5 linked regions of the Canis lupus familiaris genome follow. The protein of the gene in region 1 purifies or fractionates together with the protein of each later gene. This does not show direct contact. Links are inferred from orthologs where the notes say so. Each region holds a gene or a part of one and is shown on either strand. Other genes may lie near its edges.

The links.
Region 2: the proteins of OCRL (region 1) and SNX9 purify together in Homo sapiens (co-immunoprecipitation; 3 studies listed by BioGRID and IntAct, with this or other methods). This does not show direct contact. The link is inferred for Canis lupus familiaris from reciprocal best matches to the Homo sapiens genes OCRL and SNX9.
Region 3: the proteins of OCRL (region 1) and RAB1A purify together in Homo sapiens (co-immunoprecipitation; 3 studies listed by BioGRID and IntAct, with this or other methods). This does not show direct contact. The link is inferred for Canis lupus familiaris from reciprocal best matches to the Homo sapiens genes OCRL and RAB1A.
Region 4: the proteins of OCRL (region 1) and AP2A1 purify together in Homo sapiens (affinity purification with mass spectrometry; 3 studies listed by BioGRID and IntAct, counting the BioPlex papers as one, with this or other methods). This does not show direct contact. The link is inferred for Canis lupus familiaris from reciprocal best matches to the Homo sapiens genes OCRL and AP2A1.
Region 5: the proteins of OCRL (region 1) and PLEKHJ1 purify together in Homo sapiens (co-immunoprecipitation; 3 studies listed by BioGRID and IntAct, counting the BioPlex papers as one, with this or other methods). This does not show direct contact. The link is inferred for Canis lupus familiaris from reciprocal best matches to the Homo sapiens genes OCRL and PLEKHJ1.

Annotation. Positions count from the first base shown.
Region 1 is NC_049260.1:101,704,024-101,707,538, forward strand, and holds part of OCRL (inositol polyphosphate 5-phosphatase OCRL), read left to right. Parts: intron 1-518; coding exon 519-646; intron 647-2,179; coding exon 2,180-2,291; intron 2,292-2,471; coding exon 2,472-2,593; 3' UTR 2,594-3,515. UniProt on the Homo sapiens protein: Catalyzes the hydrolysis of the 5-position phosphate of phosphatidylinositol 4,5-bisphosphate (PtdIns(4,5)P2) and phosphatidylinositol-3,4,5-bisphosphate (PtdIns(3,4,5)P3), with the greatest catalytic activity towards PtdIns(4,5)P2.
Region 2 is NC_049222.1:47,942,337-47,945,851, reverse strand, and holds part of SNX9 (sorting nexin-9), read right to left. Parts: intron 3,076-3,515; exon of another isoform or gene 2,969-3,075; intron 2,577-2,968; coding exon 2,500-2,576; intron 1,342-2,499; coding exon 1,252-1,341; intron 1-1,251. UniProt on the Homo sapiens protein: Involved in endocytosis and intracellular vesicle trafficking, both during interphase and at the end of mitosis. Required for efficient progress through mitosis and cytokinesis. Required for normal formation of the cleavage furrow at the end of mitosis.
Region 3 is NC_049231.1:65,853,999-65,856,861, forward strand, and holds the end of RAB1A (ras-related protein Rab-1A), read right to left. Parts: intron 2,831-2,863; coding exon 2,735-2,830; intron 1,162-2,734; coding exon 1,030-1,161; intron 783-1,029; coding exon 585-782; 3' UTR 511-584; downstream 1-510. UniProt on the Homo sapiens protein: The small GTPases Rab are key regulators of intracellular membrane trafficking, from the formation of transport vesicles to their fusion with membranes.
Region 4 is NC_049222.1:107,457,509-107,461,475, forward strand, and holds the start of AP2A1 (AP-2 complex subunit alpha-1), read right to left. Parts: upstream 2,806-3,967; 5' UTR 2,669-2,805; coding exon 2,602-2,668; intron 1-2,601.
Region 5 is NC_049241.1:57,268,955-57,273,235, reverse strand, and holds PLEKHJ1 (pleckstrin homology domain-containing family J member 1), read right to left. Parts: upstream 2,806-4,281; 5' UTR 2,476-2,805; coding exon 2,382-2,475; exon of another isoform or gene 2,286-2,381; coding exon 2,218-2,285; intron 1,764-2,217; coding exon 1,697-1,763; intron 1,147-1,696; coding exon 1,056-1,146; intron 985-1,055; coding exon 921-984; intron 843-920; coding exon 777-842; 3' UTR 234-776; downstream 1-233.

The sequences.
Region 1 (3,515 bases):
CTGTCTTCTATTATAAGGTAATCATTGACTCTGCAGTTGTTTTTCAATTCCTTTTAGGAACTTTTGACTTCTCTCTGTATCAGACTCATACTGAAAGGAATCAAGGGGTAGGTAACAACGACTTTTAATAAACATGGAACATAGGACCCACAGCACTGGCACTGTTTTGCTTCAGGCCATTGATCACTCCTGCCACCACATGTGTTGTCACTAGGACACAGAAGAGGATGGGAAACATTGGTGACTAGTTTAAAGGACTGATCAAGTGTGAACATCATTCTATATGCCATATTCCCCTGATTCTCACACGTTGAGCCAAACCTCCCAAGAGGTTGATAAATTCTGTAACAGCTCAGCTGCATACCTGGACCACTAAAATATCAAACCCCAATTAGGATTAGTCTGCCCTGAATAATAGGAAGGAAACTGTCCCTGAGGGAGCTGGAGGAAGAAAGCAAATCGGGTCTCTGTGTGGTTTTTTTCCTGGAGCCACATTCCCTTGACTTAAGGTAACCCAGCTGGCAGTAATCACTCTGTGGCTGAAGCACTGCTCATTTTCCTGGAAGCCCTGCCAGAGCCTGTCATATGTTATGAGCTGTATCAGCGATGCCTTGACTCTGCTCAGGATCCCCAGAACTGCCGACAGGTGAGTTTTACTGTCCTGTGTGTCTGAGGCAAGTGCCCCCATAGAGAAATCAATTTAACAAGGCCAGGTGTATATCTAGCTGTGTGGTAGGGTGGATCTGAATCTGTTATTCATGACAGGACACCAGCATTGAGAGTTGGGACTTTTAAATTTTAGGTTGTGTTATTTCCTGTTATATTTGCCACACTTTTCTAGTTGGCCTATTGAATAGGGCAGATACCTCTGCTCTGGCATAGGATTGGTGAAGCTGATCATATATAGAATTCTGGCTGAATTACCAGAAAGGGTCAGTGATGCTTGTAAGCCTTTCTCCTTTTTGTCTTCTTGGTGTTTTTTGGTTTGGTTTGGCGGTTTTTTAGATTTTATTTATTTATTTGAGAGAGAGAGAGAGAGACCATGTGCACATGACTGATGGGGAAGGGCAGAAGGAGAGAGAGAGAGAAGCAGACCGCCTGCTGAGTGGGGAGCCTGCCACAGGGCTCTATCCCAGGACCCTGAGATCATGACCTGCGCCAAAGACAGATGCTTGCTTAACTGACTGAGCCACCCAGGCGCCCCCTTGGTGTTTTTTAAAGATTTTATTTCTACATAATCTACACCCAATGTGGGGCTCGAACCCACAACCCGGAGATCAGGAGTTGCACACTCCACTGACTGAGCCAACCAGGTGTCCCTTCTTGGTGTTTTTTTTTTTAAGATTTTAAAAATTTATTTATTCATGAGAGACACAGAGAGAGGCAGAGATATAGGTAGAGACTCGATCCCAGGACTAGACCTAACCCTAACTAGGACTAGATCTCAGGAATAGACCTGAGCCAAAAGCAGATGCTCAACAATTAAGCCACCCAGGCATCCTTGGTGTTTGTTTTTCTTTTATTTTTTTTAATTTTTAAAGATTTTTATTTATTCATGAGAGATACAGAGAAAGAGGGGCAGAGACAGGCTGAGGGAGAAGCAGGCTTCATGCAGAGAGCCCGATGTGGGACTCGATCCTGGGACCCCAGGATCACACCCTGAGCCGAAGGCAGACGCTCAACCGCTGAGCTACCCAGGTGTCCCGGTGTTTGTTTTTAATTCTGAAATAATTTTGATGCACAGTAGCTAAGAATACCTCTCAGTCAGACTAGTGAGTATTGGGAGGAGCTCCCATCTATGTTAAATGACATTGCAGAGAAAACCATTGAGCTTGGCAGATGCCATGGCTACCTGTCTGAGGAGACTGAAAAAGACCAGATTAATAGTAACCTGCTTGTAAGGTGGGATGTGTTTGTGTAAATGTGTGATGACCACATCACACATGTGAATATGGCCTGGTCTTTGAGTGGACAGGGGCCAAACAGTATGACCATTCTGACTTGGAAGTTATCATTTGGCATGTACTCTGTTAATCATGAGGAAATAAAAGAGAGTCGTGTCAGATAAATGGGGTCCTGTATGGGTTGAATTATAAAGTACTGTGGCAGCTATGAGCTCTTCTTACTCCCTTCTTTCACTTGTTCTCCTTACTGCCCACCCCCCTTTTCTTAAAAACAGGTGATTTCCCAGCTTCCAAGATGCCATAAAAATGTTTTCCATTACTTGATGGCATTCCTTCGAGAACTCTTAAAATTCTCTAAGTACAACAATGTCAGCGAAAACATGATCGGTAAGAGTACTTCATTAAAACGACAGCATGAGCAGGAGGGTGGGCTGGTTGGGACAGCCTTCCTGTCCAGGTGCATGGCCTACTGCCCTCATCCAGTGGTCCCCCAGTTCCCATTCCTGAAGTTTTGCATAGATTGTATCTGACAAAGGGTTTTCCCCTTTCCTTTTTCTCACCCTCTAGCTACTCTCTTCACTAGTCTTCTCCTAAGGCCTCCACCCAACCTTATGGCAAGACAGACTCCAAGTGACCGTCAGCGTGCTATCCAGTTTCTTCTGGGGTTTCTTGAGAGTGATGAAGACTAATAAGCCTTTTCCTCTTACTACTCTCCGAGATTCTAGAGGTGGAAAATCTTGGGCACTAAGTATTTCAGAATGAAATGAAAAGTCATGCCACGAGAAGGGTCAGTTGCAGAATTTTGAGGCTTTTGGCATGAAAAGGTTATTTCTAGTACAAGAGGAAGAGAGTTTCCTAATCCCTCCCTTACCATATCCTACACAGCAAAATACTTTTAGACTTATATTGCCAAGCCAAAGGTACCATATTTTGGTGGTTTTGTGTTCTCTCTTTATAAGGCAAAGAGATCTGTATTTACACTCCTTTATCTGGGGATGTGTTTGTTGCCCTCCTCCCCAGCTGTCATGATTGTCCTTAGCACCTAGGCCTAGATTCTGAGATGTTCCTATTCTAGGCCTACATGCACTACGTGCTGTAGCTCAGACTTGTCTGTAGTCCTTCGTCTAAAGCACTTTTGCCCGACCCCCTCCCATATCACCCCTTTGCACTCTACTCGACTAACTCTATTACATCGAAGGAAGTCTGAGTGAAGCTAGTAACTATTCAGATGTCCCCAACAGTGAGTTTACCATCTTCATGTGGTTGTGACATGGCATTTGTGCATTTCTACTACAGTGGCATTTGTATGTCTCTGTAACATTGGCCTTTTCATGGATCTGCACTGGGTGGAACCGTATTCTTTTGTCTCAGACCATGTTTACTAGCAGAACTTTAGAGATTACTAGAGATGACATCCCATTGATGTGAGAGAATCATGATCAGAGTGGAAGCACTTTGAGCATTTTAAAAGTGAGAATATTTATGTTTGACAGGTCTTGCTTTCTACCATCCCTTTCTGTTCTTATTCAAATTTCACGTGAGAACTAATACTAGTTGTCTGGAGGATCCATTCCCCACTTAGAAATCCACCTCCAGAGCAAAATCCACCTC
Region 2 (3,515 bases), on another chromosome or scaffold:
ACTGCTGGCATAAATCCCTACAACAAGCTAACTCTTCTGAGATGTTTTTTTAACTAAGACTTTTAGTTTTATTATGTTTATTTTATTCCCTATCCCTCTCCACCCCCGCCAGTTTTGTTGATGTGATTCACAGACAGCAAGGTAGGAGTTGAAGGTGTACGACAGTACAACATAACCATCTGAGGTCTGTCTTTACTGCAGGACGATGACCACAGTAACAGTTAACATCCATCACCTCACAGAGTTACAAGTTTGTTTTTCCCCTTGTGACGAGAACATTTAAGATCTACTCCCCTAGCAATTGCATTTCTGGGTACATATCTGAAGAAGGGGAAACCACTATCTCAGAGAGATCACTGCATTCCTATCATTACCCACAACAGCCACAATACCGAAACACCCCCCAAGTGTCCACTTGGTAAAGAGAATGTTCTGAGTTTCATATTAAATTATCTGAAGTTGCACAAAGCTTCCTATTTGCCCATACTACCCCTTCCTGAGGCTTGTATTATTGAGCTGAATGCTAAAATGGCCACATGTCAGAATTGTTAGGGTCACAGACCAGCCCTTGGCAGAGATTTTCCTAATAAATTCAAGTATATTACAACATCCCAGAGTACTATAGTTGATAAAATGCCCCTATTCTGAAATAATGAGTTGGAAACAGAAAAACTAACCAGAATCAAAAAGTGAGGACATCCCAAAACATGTCAAAATTCAGTTCAAAAAATACCTTTATGGTGGGACTTCTATAGTTTCCTTATTAGCACAAAAATATAAAATCGACGTTGACCATTTAAGTTTTAATTAGGAACCCTTCGTCAGGCCCAGGGACAGAATATCTTACTTCATCTTGACGGGGAAGGAAGGGTCTTTAGTGACTTGCCCAAGCAGCTTACAGAGGTCTCACTAGTAAGGGAAGCAGTATTCCTAATCTTGTTTTGAATTTCAAATAGCATGATTATTTTGTTTGATACCTGACCTAAGTATAGGCAGAAAGGAGTATTTTTCACATTTTTGTTCCCTCAAAATAGTCTGTCTATAGAATCAAAGAAACAATAACCCATAGCCTATATGTGTTATGGGACCTCACTAACTGAACACCACAGGCAGCTCCGGCCGATTTCAGAAAGCTCTTCCTTACTTGGGGCCAAGCTGACCGACAGGGCCCTCGCAGGTGGCCATGCAGGTGGCCCTGCGTAGCAGCCCTAGGTCACCCGTGTCATCTGTGCACTTCTGTGCTTAAGTTACCTTGTGGGCGCCGATAATATCAGGGAAGCAGCCAAGGAAGCCTTTATATTCATGATTACATTCCATGAGGAAATGAAGATCTTTCTTTGGCTAAAACAAGACACAGGGTGGTTATTCCTGGCAGAGAAATCCAGACCATCAAGGCCAAGAAAACAGTTGCCCAGAGGACTTGCATGAGCCAAGCCCCTGGGGTACTAGTTACCATACCAAGGGCTATGCAATCAGCCTAGTTTTCCTGCAAGAAAACAGGCCCCAAGACTACTACATTCTCAATTGTAGATTGGAGAGAAAATCATAAAACATCAGATCGTTTTTAGGCTGGCTGATAAAAATTAGTTATTTTGAGGCGGCTTCAAATATAATACTATTAGGGGGGAAAACTGGTTAATATTACTCATACACAAGCAAAGAAGATGTAGTAACTTAATGTTTAAATTTTGGCAGAGAATGTAAATTATTACTAAAGATCTGGTAACTATCTTAAGTGGCAACTTAAAATATTTCAATTTTTCTGAATTATAATTTTAATAGCTATGTTATGCATTTCTACAACCTAATCTTTTTCTTTTCTTTTCTTTTTTTTCAACCTAATCTTTTTCTATAAGGAGCAGTAGTCAATGACTAACACGAAGGGGTGTGCAACGGGTGTATGTGCACAAATACGTATTTCAAGAAGTTGTCTGAAAAACTTTTAATTTAGGGATTTGAGACACAAATGTCAACACAGATGTCTATTCCCCTTAAGGGAATTTGTTATTGGTTATCTGTCAAAAGAACTGGAATCAGGACTACTGAAGGCCTCAGTAAAAGCCATGTGACTCTATCAAAGACCTTCTCCCTGCCAAATCCCCCACTGGTGCCTTCTCCTTTGTGGCTGCTGAATGCTGAGAACCTTACAGAGTAGGCTCTACTACCACCGTTTACCAGGTGGGTAAAGCAGCCTCAGACAAGCTAAGAGTCTAAATGGTGATATGAACGGTGTTCCTGATAGAACATTCCAACTCCTGATGGCTGAGGATGGATCCAGCCATTGACACTGGAAGATACTCATTTAGATTTCTCGATGATAAATGTATCCATCACTTTAGCTTAACCAAAGAAACACTATTACCATATACAATTAACAAAAGATACAGAGGAACATAAGAGGAGAGTTGTTGGCAAAGTTTGTTTTAAAATAGGTTGAAAGAACATGTGGATTGGACAGCAGCTGCTGTGCCCTGGAGCTACATGGGTCTCTGTGGATACCTGCTCTGCCACAAGACCAGCAATTTCTTCGTAAGTCTTTCCTGCTTCGGTGATGGCAGCGTTGAGATCCGTTTCGCCTGGAAATCATTACAGCTACATCAGTGGTCATATGTACTTTCCCTTCGCGTACTTTACTTAAAAATCTTATTATAGAAAACACTATACTTTTCAAAACTAGAGGATAGGGTAACAAGTTCCCATCTACCCATCCCCTGGCTTCCCAGTGAACAACTCATGGCCAGTCTTTCTGCAGCACCCATACTGTCCGCCCCTAAAGTCCCCCTTTCACTGGCCATGTAACAATGCACCCATAAATTTGACCTCAAAGATAAGCACACTTTAAGTTCTTTTTTGTTTTGATTTAAGATTTCACCTTTTTGAGAGAGAGAGCGCGTGAGAGGGAACGAGCATGAGCAGGGAGTGGGCAGAGAAGCAGATTCCCTGTTGAGCAGGGACTCTGGGGTCATGACCTGAACTGAATGAAGGCAGTTGCTTAACTGACTGAGCCACCCAGCTGCCCCAAGATAAGCATTCTTTAAAAAGCAAGGACAATATCAACACAACACTGGAGACAAGGTAACTGCTCCTGATAATCCAGTAAGTGGACAGCTCCCTGGAGTCTGGAATCAAGCTCGCTGCTTTCAGGACTCAGAGAAAGTCCACATCATAGAGAGCTGAAGTGTTTCTTTAGTCTTTAGGTTCTTTCTCCTCCCTTTTTTCTTGCCAATTTCTTTTCGGGGGTATTGAAGAAACTAGGTGCCTTGGTACCCACAGTCTGGGTTTTGCTGTGTCTGTGGTGATAATGCAGTCCTCTGTTTCCTGTACTATCTAAATCTCTCATTTTAGGAAAGGTTTGCAAAGTGTTGCTATTCTACTTCTATCACTCCTTCTTGATCTGAAGCATTTCTATTTTTTTAAAAAAGATTTTATCTATCTATCTATCTATCTATCTATCTATCTATTTATTTATTTATTTATTTATTTGACAGAGAATGAGCACAGCAGAGGTAATAACA
Region 3 (2,863 bases), on another chromosome or scaffold:
ATATCTTCAGTTGTTTTGTTACATAGTGTGCAACAAATTACAATATTCTGCAGCCACAAATTATATGCAGAGTATGAAGAAACTATTAATCAGATAGTGTAATCTTTCCGTTTATAACTCTACAAGGAAGAACTAGCAAATCAGATCTTACATATAACATCTCACTAAACTTTATGCATGGAAAGTGACAGACACTGGTTGTGCTGTTTGATACAAAATGGCTGAACTTCATCTTCAGAAGACTAAACCTGACATCTAAACATGCCAATATAAACATCAAAACAAAATATATTCTAACCAACCACGGGAAACAGTCTGGTATCAGGAAAGCAACAAGGATTACACACATTATTTTATAAACCAGCACACAAAGGTTTAAAACAGTTCTGAAAATGAAGTTAGCTGTCTTGAGTCAAGGGAATAAAAAAAAAGTCAGTATTGACCATTTACAATCTCTGACCTTTGTGGAGACGGTAAGAATCTGTTGTAGTGCAGCTACATACAGTACAATTCAGGCAATTTTGTTTTTTCACTTGGGTTCAGATTGCAAATTCTTTGCTGTGAGAGAAAGACGGAGGCAAATTTTAGCAGCAACCTCCACCTGACTGCTTGACCGGAGTGCTCTGAATTTTCACATTGGACTTCTCTGCACCACCAGCTGTTGCTCCAGGACCCATTCGCTTTTTAATCTCAGCTGCCATCGTCATGAAAGACTGTTCTACATTCGTTGCGTTCTTAGCACTGGTTTCCAAAAATGGAATTCCAAGGGAATCTGCAAATTCCTAAGAGAATAGGAAGCCTTAATTAACACTGACAATTTTTTCCCACCTAGTGCATTTCTATCATCTGAAATGGGGAGTGAGGAAGGACTAAGTTTAAGTGAATCCATAGATACTGCATGGATTGTCACTATCTGCGTGATCCAGTGCACATATGTAGGTGGCTATGGCTGTCGTGTGACTCCACACCCACACACAATTCAAACTGAACACCTTCAAATTCTGGCTGAAAATCAAACTTGAAACATACCTTTGCTGTTGTGTAGTCTACTACTTTCTTTGTGGTCAGATCGCATTTGTTCCCTACCAACAACTTGTTGACGTTTTCACTGGCATAACGGTCTATTTCCTGCAGCCACTGTTTAACATTATTGAAGGACTCCTAAGAAAACAGACATTTTTAAGAATGATCATAGCTCTGGACACAACAGCTCTAAACAAGCAAGTAAAAGGTCTTTCCTGGCCTAAGAAGAGACTAGTGAGACAATTTGAGCTGTGCTGGGAAGAAAGTGAAGTGACATACTAAAATGACTAACCGTACCTGCATGAAAAAGAGATTAGAATTTGAATGCTTAAGAAAGAGAACATACCAGTTCATCATTAAACTACAGCTCAGTCAAATCTAGCTGTTTTGGAATATGCAATTTAAATGCACCTATAAAAACCTGGTTTTTGAAATTTGATAAAACGCTGGTTCATATACTAGAGTGCCTACCTACATGATAATACTAGAGATATCAAAAGATATTAAATAAATGGGTCCAAGGTAAAGAAAGATGTTTTTCTTTTTCACAGACCTATTGAGGGGAGGAAAATTTTCATACTTCATAATATCATGGTAATGACTTGAGATTTTTAAAATTAGCATCATTTCTTCTATTGACATCAGTGACCCAATACTTCTAATGGCACTAAAGTCTAGGATTCTAGCTATCTCTTAATTAGCTATGATTTCACAGTAGCAGTGAGATTTAACATCTGCCCCAAGAAAAATGTATTTAAATAGTCAAAGTTTACCTTTCATTATTTGATAAGAAAAAAAGGACCCTGAAGTTTTCTTATCAAAAGAACATTCATGGCCCCTAGACCACCATCTTCACACTACCTCTATATCCCCTATGTTCTTTCAACAGCTTATCTTTTAAAAGGGGGGAGGGGAAAATTTTTTTTTTAAAAGGGGGAGGGAGGGGAACAATGAGCATCTAAAGATTATTTTATTTTTTAAAGATTTTATTTATTTATTCATGAGAGAAACAAAGACACAGGCAGAGGGAGAAGCAGGCCCCATGCAGGGAGCCCGATGCAGGACTCGATCCTGGGTCTCCAGGATCAGGCCCTGGGCCAAAGGTGGCACTAAACCGCTGAGCCACTGGGGCTGCCCCAAGATTATTTCTTTTAGAGCAAAAGAGCTGCTCAAACGGGAGGATGGGGCAGAGAGAAAGAAGCAGCAGACTCCCTGCTGAGCATGGAGCCTGATTTGGGGCTTGAGCTGTGACCCCGAGATCACAACTTGAGCCTGAGCTGAAACCAAGAGTTGGCCACTCCACAGACTGAGCCACCCAGGTGCCCCCTCATTGTCCTCTTAAAAATCTTCCTCCAGCTCATCCTATTTCGGACCCATATCCTCCACACACAGAGACCTCTAATCTCACTTTTGACAACTCTAAGAGGTCTAGCAAATTCCTGCTAATACTTAACACCAAGAACACAGTACACACTAAACAATCCACAGTTCCCTATGAACTCTTGCTGAAATGATCAAAAGATTTAGTTGATAATAAATATAAGCAGAGTCCCTTGAAAGCAAATGTAAAGCCAATTACTAAATTTTCTATTAAAGGAAAATAATGTAAAATTTTGGTTGGATATTCAAATAATGGAGGGGAGAAAAATATCAATGTACCTGCTTTAAACTTCCTACTTTGTCACTAACAAAACGTACCCCCGGAACTTACCTGATCTGTCACGTCATACACAACTATGATGCCATGGGCTCCTCTGTAATAACTGGAGGTGATTGTTCGAAATCTTTCTTGGCCTGCTGTGTCCCACTGTTAAAAACAATCAAGAAATCCAAAAAATTC
Region 4 (3,967 bases), on another chromosome or scaffold:
AAGCCCCTCCTGTGCTCTAACCCTTCTCTCGTTTCACCCAGAGAAAGGCCAGAGTGCTAAGGCCTGTAAAGCCCTCCACAATCCCTGTCCCCTCTCTCTGCCCTCATTTCCTGCCCTCTCCCCCCTCAGCTCCAACCACACAAGTCCCCTCCCTCTTACCAGAACACACGTCAAGCATACTGCCACCCCAGGACCTCTAAATGCACCATCCCTCCACCTGGACCCCTCTGCCCTCCAAAATCTACAGGGTCTGTTCCTTCACTTCACTCAAAAGTCTACTCACATGTCACCCCCTTGGGGAGGCCTACTCAGGCACCATCTCAATCCTGGTCCTTCCTTATCTTTCCTTCCTGACTTTCCTTCACATTACCTTCTGACATAGTGTCATTTATTGTAGTTCAGTGTTTATTTTCTATGTCCCTCATGGCCTGGGTGCTCCCAAGCCAGAGATTCTTGTTGGCTGTTATAGCCTAGTCCCAGGTGTAGTGTCAAAAAGTAGTGATCAGGGGCACCTGGGTGGTTCAGTGGTTGGGTATCTGCCTTCGGCTCAAGTCGTGATCCCGCATCAGACTCCCAGCAGAGAGCCTGCTTCTCCCTCAGCCTGTGTCCTTGCCTCTTTCTCTGTGTCTCTCATGAATAAATAAATACAATCTAAAAAAAAAAAGTAGTGATCAAAAAGCATTTGTTGAATAAATGAATGAATGAACCTTCAGAGACAAGATGATATTATCAAGGAAGTTTACAGATAAGAAAATAGGAGCCTCGAGGTGCCTGAGCAGCTGACTCTTGATTTTGGCTCAGGTGGTGATCTCAGGGTCGTGAAATGAAGCCCTGAGTTGGGCTCTGTGCTCAATGCAGTGTCTGCTTGAGAGTCTCTCTCTTTCCCTCTCTCTCTGCCCCTCCTCCTTGTGCTCTCTTTCTGTCTCTCTCTAAAATAAATAAGTCTAAAAAAAAGAAAAGAAAGAAAGAAAGAAAGAAAGAAAAAAAAAAAAAGAAAAAACTGGGACTCAGAGAAGTTAAATGACTCGCCAAGAGTCACATCACTTCACATTGCTGGTAGGCATCTGGGGCAATGCACACCTACTCCTGATAGATGGCCCCCCACCTAACCCGCAGCCCCTTCTCACTCACCTCTTACCATAGTAACCACAACATCTCTCCTTCACCTGACTCCCAACACCTTCCAGCCCTCTTTCGCTGAGCACCTACTATGTACTAAGTCCTTTCATATCTACCAAATTCCAAAATAATCTCCAGGCATCTAACAGAGGCCACTTGTCAGATCCACCAAATGACAAAAACAATAGCCAAGACTGTCCAGTGTTTGGAATGTGCAGAAGGCCTCACTCACATGCATTTATCACAACAACCTCATCAGGAAGGTGCAATCAGCAGTCCCTCCTGACAGATGAGGAAATAGAAAGGCGAAATCCCCCATTCAAGGTCACATGGCTAGGGAGTGACAGCACTCAAACTCAAGCTCAGGTCCGGCTGACCCTAGAGCCCCTGCGGATATAGCCTCCAAAGCTCTTGGCAGCTCCAAACACCAACACCCACTCCCAGGAGTTGGGAAGCTGACTTGGCACCAGGCCTCTCATCGTCACGACAATTCTTGCTGCTGCTGCTCACTGTCCCCATATTGATGTGGTCAGATGAGAGAGGGCTCCAGATTCAGGACTGGCCTGCTCCCTGACCTCTGACCTCCCTCTGGGATCAGGCTTCCCCCAACCCCCAGCTTTCCAGATCTCTTCCCAACAAAATCCTAAGGCTCCCTGGGCCCTTCTTTTGAGCTCTGGGCTCTCCCCATTCTGGCACATTCCTCAAGCCCCCACTTTGTAACCTCTTCTTCTTTGTTCCAGGCCCCTAGCTTCCTGTCTCGGGTTCTCCCAAGACCCTCCACCCCCAGCAACTCTCCTCCATATTCCTCAACCCCTCCTTTCCCTGTAGCGACCCTTCAGCCCCCCTCTCCATTGCCCTCCATCCTGGAGTCCCTCTCTCCCTCTTCAAGGTCCTGCTATATAGTCCCACCTTCCCATCTCTCTTCCTCAACCCCCTGGGACTTTCTATTACTCTCAGATTCGCTCTGTGCACCACCCAGGAGCCTCCGTGACCTACCTAGCCCCTTCCCTTCTATGACACCCCCCAGCTAGGCCCTCAAAGCCAGACCCCATGATGCTTCCTGTGTTTTACGTCCTCCCGGTCTCCTCGGGCCCTCTCCCACTCTATCGCTCCACAGGGTACCCCCCACCCATGCACCTCCTTCCCTTTCTACCGACATCAAGGATTTCTCTCTCCCCACCATTGATAGGTTCCTCCAGCCTCTCTAGCATTCCCAGGGGACACCCTTATGTCCCCAGCCCCGGGACCTTTCCTTTAACACCCTCCCGGACGCCTCTAGCCACTCCGTGTCGTCACCTCAAGAGGCACTCTATGACACCCTAAGTCCTTCCATTGCTCCCACCCTAAAGTTCCCCCCGGGGCCTCTCTATCCTCCCCCCCTTCGCCCGCGATGGCTTTCAATGCCCCGGGCCCCTCAGTAATCCCCGAGCCCCTCAATTCCATGCTCCCCCGCCCTCCAGTGTCCCCCGGCCGCGCTCTCACAGTTCCGGATGTCGGAGATGAACACCGCGAGCCCCCGCATCCCATCGCCCTTGGAGACGGCCGGCATGATGGCGGTGGTGTCGGCTCCAGGCCTGGCCGGGCAGGGCACAGCGCAGCGGGGGCTGGCAGGCGGGGACCGGGAGCAAAGGACCCCAAGCAGCGCCGAGAAGCAGAGCCGGCCAGGGGGGAGGGCGGGCTGGCGGGCGGGCGGGCGGGCGGCAGGCCGCGGCTCCGCCCCCGGCCCCTCCCCTCCCGTTCGCCGTCCTGAGCTATCAACCTCCCATTGGCTCGAGTTACTGCCGCTCAGAATCGGACGCAACCGCCCCCCGCCCTCTCTCTCATTGGTCGCTGGACAAAGGCACGCTGCTGCGATTGGCCCAGTGGCCCGCTATTTCCGTTCGCGGGGGGCGGGGGAAAGGGGCGTTGCCCGAGAGACGGGCGGAGTTCGGTTACGTGTGGTGGGACCGCCCCCTCCGTGAGGCCGGGTCCCTTGCTGATTGGATCCGGCGAAGGGAGGGATTGACAAGAAGGAAGGCGGGGGCGGGGGCTTGGGAGGCGGGACTTGCATTTATCTAGACCAATGAGCGGGCAGATCGCCCACGCAGGCGTCGCGGATTCGCCAGACCTCCTCAGTTCCCGCCCCCGATTGGGCGGTTGTGGGGGCGGGAGAAAGGCGATCATAGGTAGAGAAGGAAGGGGGACGGGGTTGTCACTCGTCTTGCCCTGGATAGGTGGAGCGTCGCCTGCAATTCCCCGCTGCAGAGAAGTGGTTGGGAGGGGCAAGAAAATGTGAGATGTTTACTGCGCAAGCGTCTGCCTGTTTCCACTTTCTCCCTCCTCTCTTCCACCCCCGACTCCTTAAATCTTCTTCCAGGAAGTCTTCCCGTCCCCTTCCCCCTCTCTTGTCTGGGGCCAAGATGTTGAAACCTCCGTTCTCAGAACCGAGGAAACAGTAATTTCAATCTAAGCCTATTTAGGCAGACCTTAAACCTGTGGTCCAGAGAGGTTGCGTGACTTGCCCAAGGTCACACAGCTCTCAGGATAACAGAGCAGGGATTTAACCTACATTTTGTCTTTTAACCACTTTCCAATGTACAATGCCTTTTGGGGGCAACCATAACGCCATTCTACAGATATCAAATCAAAATCGTGAACCTCTCCTCCACCAAACTTAGAGTTCCTCCTGAGCAAGAATGGGATCTGGTACTGAAGAACACTAGTTAAAAGGAAGGAATAGATGAATCTGCTTGGTTTGGTCCAACCATTACCCCTTGGCACCCTGAGACCTTCTTTGATTCGCTGATTTTGGGGGAAGGCAAAGCCTCAGGAACTACGATGCCCCGAGCTATTGAGAAATTTGGGGCAA
Region 5 (4,281 bases), on another chromosome or scaffold:
ATCTTTGGGTTTAATCCTATCACCCTTCTGTTCTCTACATCCCTGCCTCCCTGCCTCTCCCTGGCCTGGTTCGAGGTCTCGCCCTCCACTGGGGCAGCCCAGCCCTTCCTCCTGGGCATGGAAACCTCCAACCTGGGGCAGGCTGCCGTCCCGCTGAGGCCTCACTGCCCTCGGGAGCCAGCTCCAACCACCCGGGTCCAGCAGCCCCTCCCTGCATTCACTGCAGCACCGTCCCATGTGAAAAAGAGGTACCTTTATTTGAACAGAACAAGCTCGCTGGCCTGAGAGCAAATGCTTCCAGGTCCGCCTAGAGGCGGCTGGCCAGGGGCTGCCCCATCAGCAGGAGGAGGATTCACAGTGGCTCCAAGAGGCGTGGCCCCCACGCCCTTCACAGCATCGTCTGGCCTTGTACATTCAGCCTGCACAGAGCAGGAGACCTGTGCCAGCCTCAGGTGCCGCCAGGCCCCAGATGGACGTGCCCAAGGGGCTGGGCGCAGCTTCTAGGAGTGGACACTTGTCCCCCGGTAGCAGCATGTGGCACCAACAGGTACCAGACCAGTCTAGGGGGGTCCCCGAGGCACGAGCATAGGGGGGCTTACTGGGTTGTCTGTCCAACCTGCCCCCGTCCCCCGCCACCATCGTGGGCTTTTGAAGTCTTTAAGCCAAGCACCTGCTGCAGCAAATCCAGGCCTGACCAGGACACCCAGGGCCTGGAGAAAACAGGGAGTGAGTGCTTGTTCCAGTCCCAGTAGAAAAGGTGGCGAGCCCCACCCAACTCAGGCCTTCAAGCCACCCAGCTGGAACCTGGCCTCCTCAGATATGCCGAACTGCTCCAGGGGGTCCTGTGTGGATGAACCAGCAGCATGAGCCGGGGCCCCAGAGGCCGCTGCCCGGCCCCCTGCCCCCTGCCCCCTGCGCACCTTGCCAGTCATCTTCTGGATCTCATTCCTGTAGAATATGAGGCTTCTCCGCATGAACTCGTAGCTGGGGGAGAAAGTGGAATGTGCTCACTCAGGCCCCCCCCTCCCCAGCCCCTGGGCAGGCCCACACCTCACCTGGCTCGACGCAGAGCCCCCATCCACTCCTGACACTGCTCCTCACTGCAGCACTCAAAGTGGTACTTCCTCTCTGGGTCCTCCATGAAGCCTGCGGAGGGAGCGGTCTGTCTGTCCCATCTCACTGCCCGCCGCCCCCTCCGAAGCCCCCCCACGGGCCTCCACCTTCCTCCAGGCCAAGACGACTCCCAGCGGCTGAGTGGACTGAATGGTGCCCCCCACACAGTAGTTCCAGTCCTAACCCTAGAGCCTGTGGCCCAGATACAGAACCCTTCAGAGTGCGGCTACTTAATAAGTCAGGGGAGAATAGGCGGCACAGGACGTCCCCGAGAACATGAAGGGGGGACACGAACACCCTAGGAGTCCTTCTGCAGAGGCAAGGGCGCTGCCAGCTGCCGGCCACCCCGGAAGCCAGGCTCGCCTGGGACAACCTCCCCGACAAGGATCCCCCGCAGGCCCAATGACGTCACTTCTCCAGCCCCAGGGCGCCCACAGCAGGGCCCGGCAGCCCAGTGCAGCACTGCCCAACAGGAGACAAGGTCCTAGAGGAGCTGCACCCCGGCAGCCCGAGGGAAGGGTGGACTTTGTCTCCGCGCAGACCCGCGGCCGGGCCGAAGGGGCAGGGCGGGCGCGGCACTCACAGATGGAGAAGCCGCTGGGCTCTTCCTGGGTGATTCTGCAGCGCTCCAGCAGCAGGGCTCCGACGGGCTGCGGGAGGGGGCGAGTGGGGACCGGCCTCGTGGGGACCCGGGCCCCCGCCCCCGCCGGACCCCAAAGCCCGCCCGGCGCGCCCCCCCCCACACCTGTCCGGGCCCCGCTCCCGGCCCCTCCCCCCGCCCCGACTCCTGTCCGGGCCCCGCCCCCGGCCCCTCCCTCCCCTCCCCCCCAGGCCCCCTCCCTTCCCGGCCCCGACACCTGTCCCGGCCCCTCCCCCGGCCCCGCCCTCCCCTCCCCCCCCCCAGGCCCCCCTCCCTCCCCGGCCCCGACACCTGTCCCGGCCCCGCCCCCCGGCCCCGCCCTCCCCTCCCCCCGCCAGGCCCCGCTCCCTTCCCGGCCCCGACACCTGTCCCGGCCCCGCCCCCGGCCCCTCCCCCGGCCCCGCCCTCCCCGCCCCCCGGGCCCCCGCTCTCTTCCCGGCCCCGACCCCCGCCCGTCGGCCTACCTCGGCCTCGTCCGTCCGGAAGTAGAAGAGGAAGTTGACCACCAGCTTCACCAGCCGCCGCTTCAGCACTGCGGGCACAGGGCGGGCTCACGCGGGCTCGGCCGCCACCCACCCCCGCCCGGCCAGCCCGCCCGCCCGCCCGCCCGGCGCTCCGGCCCGCTCACCACTGCCTTTCTTGGGGCCTCGCATGCCCAGCTCGGCCGCCAGTTCGGCCGGCTGCCGGGACAGCGCCTGCAGCTCCTTCTCGTTGTAGCGCATGGCGCTGCCAGGACCCAAAACGCGGAGCGCGGGCCGCGCCCTCCCGGCCGCCGTCCCCTCTCGCGCCAAAAAAGTCCTACAGTGCCGTCCCGGAAGCGCCGTCGCGGCCACTGCGCTTGCGCGGCCCCGAGACACGCATTGTGGTGTTGGCCGGCGCGCGGCGCTAAGCCAGGCCCGCGTGGGGGAGCACGCGATACCGGCCGACACGGACGGCCGTTATAAATAACCACGCAGTCAGCTGGATCCGAGGTGGGAACCCAGGAAGGCAGCCTCACGACCGTGGCGCCCTCTACCGACGAGCCCACGCCCGCCCTCCCGCGGAAACCGGCCCGGCGCCCGCTAGGCGTGGAGAGCCTGGTGCGCACGCGCACTCCCGAGTTCCGGCCCTTATTCCCAGCCCCGCCCCCTTTCCTCGCCCTCTCGAGCATCAGGTCCGCCTCGCCTGGCGAAGCACGCATGCGCACACGGGAAGCCCTCACCCCTCTCCCCAGACCCCACCGTTTGCCCCCGGAAGCGCTTCTGTAGCCCGCGACGCGCCTGCGCATAACGTCTTCGTGGCAGCGGCGGGCGCGGGGTGAGGAGTCGCGCGGGGTGAGGATCCGGGCTGGCCGAGCGCGGCGGTCCCGGGGCCCTGGCTTCCCCGGACGGGAGCGGCGGGGGGCGGGGGGCTCTCGGGTTCGCGGCGCCGCCGGGCCCCAGCTCCCTGGCCGCGCGCGGGGTCGGGCCCGACGAGTCCCGCCTCCTCGGAAGTGTGCGGGTCGGGTCGGGGCCCGGCGGCGCCGTGGGGTCCCTGGCGGCGGGTCGGGGGGGGGGGGGAGGCCGAGGGGGCGCCCGCGACGGGCCCGCGCCCTGGCGTCCCGGGGCTGACGTTGACTTCGGTTGTCCGCGAACGTGCGTGCTGAGAATTTAGGGTAACAAGCTCTAGACTGAGCATCCCTCTTGGGGCCCCCAGGCGGCCCAGGGCGTGACCCCGGGGTCCCGGGATCGAATCCCCCATCGGGCTCCGCGCAGGGGGCCTGCTGCTCCTCTGCCTGTGTCTGCCTCTCTCTGTGTGTCTCTCATGAATAAATACAATCTTTAAAAAAAAAAAAAAGATTTGTATTTGTTTATTAGAGAGGGGGAGGTAGAGTACAAGCAGGGGGAGGAGAGGGAGAAGCAGGCTGACTGCTGAGCGGGGAGCCCGGGACCCTGGGGTCACGACCTGAGCCACCCGCGCCTCCCGATGGTCTCTGTCCACGGGGGTCTCTGTCCTTTTTTCCGTCCGAACAATGAGATTCTCTCAAGCCCCGGGCCCGGGCTGTTTCCCTTTCTTTGGGAATGCTTTCAGATTTCTTTGAGGATGCCTTCCATGCTTCTTGCTGTTCTCGCTCTGAAATTTCATCTAAGTCCTGTTCTCTTACTTTCCCCCCTGTTTTGCGTTTCTTTGTAAAAGGTTGGTTTGACTTGTACCCGCAAGCTCTTAAGTTCAGCTGTTTCCAAAGGTCTTGGGTTTGGGTTTTAACTGCCCTTGCTAACCTTTGGTGCCGTGCTCTGCATTGGAGGTGTAGTAACTCTCACCCTGTTTTGTTTTGTTTTGTTTTAATTTTTATTTATTTATGATAGATATATATATAGAGAGAGAGGCAGAGACAAAGGCAGAGGAGAGGGAGAAGCAGGCTCCATGTGCCGGGAGCCCGACGTGAGACTCGATCCCGGGACTCCAGGATCACGCCCTGACCGCTGAGCCACCCAGGGATCCCCCCTCTCACCCTCTAATTAAGGAGGATGCTAACATTGCCTGGGGGGGTGGGGGGTGGCTAGCGGATG